2 linked regions of the Kluyveromyces lactis genome follow. The protein of the gene in region 1 interacts with the protein of each later gene in a pairwise test. Links are inferred from orthologs where the notes say so. Each region holds a gene or a part of one and is shown on either strand. Other genes may lie near its edges. The genes, in order: VAM3 and YKT6.

Region 1 (2,991 bases):
GCGCGAAGTGATTGTAAGCCATATTTATCCAATAATAGAGGTACAATTTCTTGGTGGACATCAGACGCTGTTTTACCCTCCTTAGGTAGAAAATACAGCTCTCTATTGAAACCATTGATTTGCGCCATTGCAGAGACTACTTGATTCTTTCTCGTTTTAACTTTACCAAAGAGAATCAAAGAAGAGTTGACTTCGGTAAAATCAGTCCAAAAAAAGTTAAAACTACCGGTCTCAGCGTCTACTACATCCTCTTTAGGTATTCTTTGTCTCAGTGATCCGGAAATTGATTCTGTTGCTTGTGTGGACCCTGTAGAAGTTGACAATGGGGTGTTAGGAGCAGTGACATATGTTGGCGAAGACGTTAATGGTGCTGTTTGAGCGCTGATATTCATCTGCCTTTGAGTAGCTATTGATTTGAATTTTTTTCTACCAAAGTGAATATCATCTTCGTCATCTTCACTGTCATCTTCGCTTTGATATGTCTTCTGCTTGCTCATTGAAGGAGAACTAGCCACATCGTTTAATAATGATTCAATATCGTGGTCCTCTTCCATTGAATCACAATCGATAGGATTAACGCTATCAGCTTTAAAAGGTACAACATCTTTACCTTTAAGTGGGGATGTATCTACCTGAGGGTGTTTATAGTTCATAGGCGTAGTATTTGCAGGTTGTTTTCTGGATATCGTTAGCTTCGGCTTCTTAACCAGAGGCTCTGCGTCAAATTCACTCAAAATATCATCAAATTCAGCAAGTGACACTTTCTTAGGTTTTTCTGTTGGCATTGTCATTTTTCTCTTGACATTTTGTTGCTTTATGATATCGCTGATGGTATCCTTACCTTTGTTATTCTTACTGGTCTTATTACGCTTTTTGCCTGACTTTGCATCAACACCATCGTCTTCATCAGAGTAGAACTCCTGACTTTGATCCCATTCATCTACACCACGATCCACATATCCACTGCCATCATCATCTTCAACAAAATCATCTCTTAACAACTCTTGTCTTTTCTTACTCCTATATTGATCCTCGTCAATCAAGTCATACACATTTTCTTCTTCCAGTTGTTCATCTAGCACATCCCTATTCGATTTATTATTCCTAGCTTTCTGCAATTTTTTGAGCAGTTCAAGTTTGTTCGCATTACTCATCCCGAGCTAGTGTTTTAATAGTGTAGGGTGGCAGTACGAACTACCCTAGTAATTTAGTTTTGTTGTCTTTCCTGGTTTGAGTTGCAAGAAGAAGATGATGAAGATGTTCTTACTTTTACGCGTTCTTTTTTTTTTTAAAGTTGTATCTATCTGCAAAGCACGCGTTCGAAATCTATGAACTTAATGGCACCAACGCTGAGACAAAGCGAGAGTGCATGAGAAGAAAAGCGAGCGAAAGATTGAGTGACAGTAGAATACCGACAACACTTGAGTGGTTAAACGGTGAAGCCGCTGAAGTGTTAGAGAGTGTGCGCTCCTCAATATTATGATACGAATTTCCATTAGTTGAACCAATTGGCGTTGGCTTGGAAAGAAAAATGGATCACATGACCTGTGGTTTAAGACTGTCCTCAATTTTAAAGTGCTCAAATTGAGGTTTGTGATCATTAACTGAAGGGAAGGATAACTGTTAAGGAAACAGCTGATAGCAGGACCCGTAAAGATAATCGCGTTACATCTGATGTCCTTTTATCAAAATAGTACTCCAAAAAAGGAGGACAATCGTGCAGATTCTAGTGGAAACGATGCGGTGCCTTTGTTGATAACACTAGAACAGAATATTCAATTACTCAAGCGTAAAGCTCATCTAATAGGGACAAGCAAGGACGGACAACTATTGAGGGTTGATATAAAAAATAGAGTAATCCCCGAAATCCAGAAAATTAGTCGAAAACTGGCTGACTTAACTTCGCTAGATACACAAGATAAATTTGCTCGAGATTTTCAAGCGTTAAGCAAACAATATAACAGTGTAAAGACCGATTATGAGAATAGGGCAGTACAGAATCCCATACCTGACGAAGAGAGTAAAGATAATGAATCGGAACATCTCGTATCGCAATATGAAAGCATGCCAATACAAGACGATATCGAGAGGAGGGATCATTCTTCAGAGGATACTCCGTTACTTTTGTCTACCCAACAGCAAGAGCCTTTGTTGAATCAGGATGAGTTAGATTTTCACACGATAATTCAACATGAAAGATCCCAGGACATATCAAAAATCCACTCTGCTGTGCAAGAGGTCAATGCCATCTTCAAACAACTAGGAAGTCTGGTACAGGAACAGGGCGAACAAGTTGACACAATTGGCGAAAATGTGACAGGATTATCTAATAATTTGCAAAAGGCGAACAAAGAACTTCACAAAGCAAATGAATATCAAAGGAAAAAGAACAGATGTGGTACAATACTTCTAGTAGCTATTGTTGTTATCACTCTAATAACTCTTATCGCGATTCTATCATAGGGTTAGATTCTACGAGGAATGTAACTATATATTAATACAAAATTTATCTCTGGCCTTATACTTGGATGAAAGTTACGTTACGTTTTAGAGAACACGCATCATCAGGTAAATATGTCCGACTTAGAGGTTACAACTAATTATTAATCATAGCTTACTTGTCAGTATCCTTTTTAGTGCTTTCGGAGGAGTTATTTTTGGATAGTTCATAAGACTCAACATTCTTGAGATCTCCACGTTCAATGACAAGATTTTTGAGAAGTCTGTTTTCCATTTCAAGGGTATTGATTCTTTGCTTCAAGTCACAAGCTAACTGTGAAAGATCTTGGACCCAAGTTTCCATTTCTTTCTCTTTAAGTTTTTTAGTTTGATCCAAGTTCGGCAGTTTGGGTCTTGAAGAAAGGGTTGAGGAAGTGGACGACGATTCTACACCATCACTGGAGGAATTGTTTTTATCAGAATCAGTATTATGCTTTTTTTCGTTTATCTTCTCATCGAGACTCTTAGCAGCATTTTCCTTGTCATTGAGAA
Region 2 (2,884 bases), on another chromosome or scaffold:
AGCAGTTCAGGGTCGGGAAGATTCTATTTCTTTTCATCGTCAGTGTTCGTGACAGCGGCAGCTTCAGGAGTATCCTTTAGTTGAGGGTTTTCTTCCACATATTTTTCCAAGACAGGTTCGAAAACGGCATTTTCAGTTTGTACTTCAACAGTAGAGGTGGCAGTTGAAACCGGGGTAGTGCTCTTATCCTCGATTTTTGAAGCTTCTGCAGAAGCTTCTTCTTCATCCTTGATTTGTTCAGCATAATAGTCTGGGTATTTTCTGAAACAATTTTGCATAGTGGAGAACTTCTCAACACAGTTGATACCCTTTGGATCAGCTTCAGAGTAGACAAAACATGAAAAAGCGGACTTAAACTCTTCACCGCAAGGACCGTATGCCATACCACCTAAACAAGGACAATCCCAGTTGATTTCACCAGTTTCTGGGTTGTATGCAGTTTGTTGTTCGTTTTTTTTTTCACCTTGAACACCTGCAGCCGCAGCAGCCGCAGTAGCGGACTGTTCAGCAGTGCCACCGGAGATAGACCGAATTTCAGCTTGCTCTTCTGCTTCTGTTATGGTCTCAGCTTCAGCAGGAGATTTTTCATGCAAAACAACATCCGATTCACCTTCTGAACCGTCTTTTGAGGCGGTTTTTACGGCATCTGGGCTTGTTTGTTGAATCTCCTTTTTGTCAGCTTCATCTTCTAAAACAACACCCTTGGCAGTTTTTGAGTCATCGAAGCTCAAAGAGGGAGCTTTGGTATCCTCGGAAATGCCAGTAACAGGTTCATTGGTGGCTTCTCCACTGGCAGCTGGTTCGGTAGCTTGTTCATTGACGGATTCAGCAACTGGCTCAATGGCAGCTGGCTCATCTCCTGATAAGGTGGCTGCTAAGGCCTGGTGTGTCTCCTCGCTATAAGTAATCTCGTTCTCAGGAGTAGTAACTGGCTCAGCACCTTCCTCCTGAGCAGACACCGGAGATTCATCGGCATCCTTCGTAGGTTCAGAAATAGATTGTGATTGGCCCGCTGCAGGAGTCTCTTCAGCAGGCTTCTCAGCAGGAGCAGGCTTCCTCTCAATCAAAGTAGGACACCCATCAGCAACGTAGATGGCACCAAGAGTACTGAACCCAGCCAACAACAATGCTGGCTTGTTCATATGGCTCACTCCACCGGAAGGTGGATGAGCACTGTAAAACCTAATTTGTCTAGCGGATCTAAAAGCAACACGTCTAGTAGCTTGTAAAGAAACACGGAACATTGTCTTCAAAAAAATATGTATATGCCTATAATCAATTGACTCGTCAGCAACTTTCAAACGTTTTCTAAGTGTACTGTAAAAATACCAAACCTAACTAAAAGCAAATTTCTTTCCTCCCGTTGTGGGTATCAATCAGCTTCTCTTTTAAATGTTCCTTTGACAAATTGAAAATGCCTTTGTTAGCAAAAAAAAGAAAAATTCGAATATCAAACAAAATGGATATTGAAGCATTGTGATATGAGGATGGGAAATGATGATGTATTTTGAAGATAACACGGAGACGAGAAGGACAGTGTTATAGTACACGTATAGGGGATCTAAGAATAGTTAAGTTTGGGCAAAATAGTAGCTTTTTTTCTCATTTGACAAGTGGGAGAAAACAGGATACAGGATACAAGGATGAAGATATATTACATTGGAGTTTTAAGAAACAGCGATGATAAGACCCTTGAATTAAGTTCTGTGAAGGACTTATCACAATTTGGGTTCTTTGAAAGGAACAGTGTTGCACAGTTCATGTCCTTTTTCAGTGAGACTGTTGCTGGCAGGACAAGTGCTGGTCAAAGACAGAGTGTTGAAGAAGGTAACTATGTAGGTCACGTTTACGCAAGGCCTGAAGGAATTTGTGGTGTTTTGATTACGGATAAGGAGTACCCAGTAAGACCAGCTTATACGTTGTTGAACAAAGTATTGGATGAGTATTTGGTAGCGCACCCTCCTATCCAGTGGAAGGACGTGACGGAGAGTGACGATTCGCTCAAGTTGAAGGAGTTGGATATCTATATTGCCAAGTATCAGGACCCATCTCAAGCTGATGCAATAATGCGTGTACAGCAAGAATTAGACGAGACCAAGATCACGCTACACAAAACCATTGAAAACGTATTACAAAGAGGTGAGAAATTGGACAATTTGGTAGACAAGTCCGAATCACTATCTGCTGCATCGAGGATGTTCTATAAGCAAGCAAAGAAAACCAATTCGTGCTGTATAGTTATGTAGACGGATTTGAAATAGAGGCCAAAACATGGCCAGCCTGATCATATATAGCCCTTGCTACGAGTATTAAGCATAATAGTAATCAAAATAAAGTAATAGTAAGGTTTCACCGGCGTTTTGACCGCCACCTTTGATCAGCCTTTCGTTCCTTCCTGTCCACTAGGGTCTGATTTATCTATCATCATCTGGCTGAGTACGGGCAGCGGATCAATTTTGAAAGAAATTTTCTCCAAAAAAAACGACCCCGGAGAGGATTGAACTCTCGATCTTGCGATTAACAGTCGCACGCCTTAACCAGCTTGGCCACGGAGTCTACTTGCTGGACGCTGTCTTTTGTCCAAGATACCATAAGGTCCAAGACCGACCATTGCCTGCTCACCTGATATTACGTTATCTGCCTGTTAAATTCGGAGTACTTACTCACAGCGTTATCCCCCCCAAACACATAATATACAGGAGGTAAACAGCAGCTCCAAAAGTCACTCCGAATCTCGCTTTTCTCAAGCTCATCGTTAGCGTATCGATGGTATAGTTCGGGCCCTGTTTCCTGTTCTCCGACCCACCCTGTCTGCTTTCTCCCCACGCTACAATTTTTTTTTCAGTTCAAAATGCCGTTATGCATGCGCAAACCTCTCGAGACG

What was found.
Region 2: the proteins of VAM3 (region 1) and YKT6 interact in a two-hybrid assay, tested with the Saccharomyces cerevisiae proteins (2 studies listed by BioGRID). The link is inferred for Kluyveromyces lactis from reciprocal best matches to the Saccharomyces cerevisiae genes VAM3 and YKT6.

What each region holds. Positions count from the first base shown.
Region 1 is NC_006039.1:1,128,492-1,131,482, reverse strand, and holds VAM3 (SNAP receptor VAM3), read left to right. Parts: upstream 1-1,674; coding exon 1,675-2,463; downstream 2,464-2,991. Other genes in the region: DNA-directed DNA polymerase alpha catalytic subunit POL1, read right to left, coding at 1-1,154; MET4 (Met4p), read right to left, coding at 2,615-2,991. UniProt on the Saccharomyces cerevisiae protein: Required for vacuolar assembly. Provides the t-SNARE function in a late step of the vacuolar assembly. Required for homotypic vacuole membrane fusion, autophagy and fusion of biosynthetic transport vesicles with the vacuole.
Region 2 is NC_006040.1:227,926-230,809, reverse strand, and holds YKT6 (palmitoyltransferase YKT6), read left to right. Parts: upstream 1-1,643; coding exon 1,644-2,246; downstream 2,247-2,884. Other genes in the region: MIA40 (Mia40p), read right to left, coding at 24-1,244.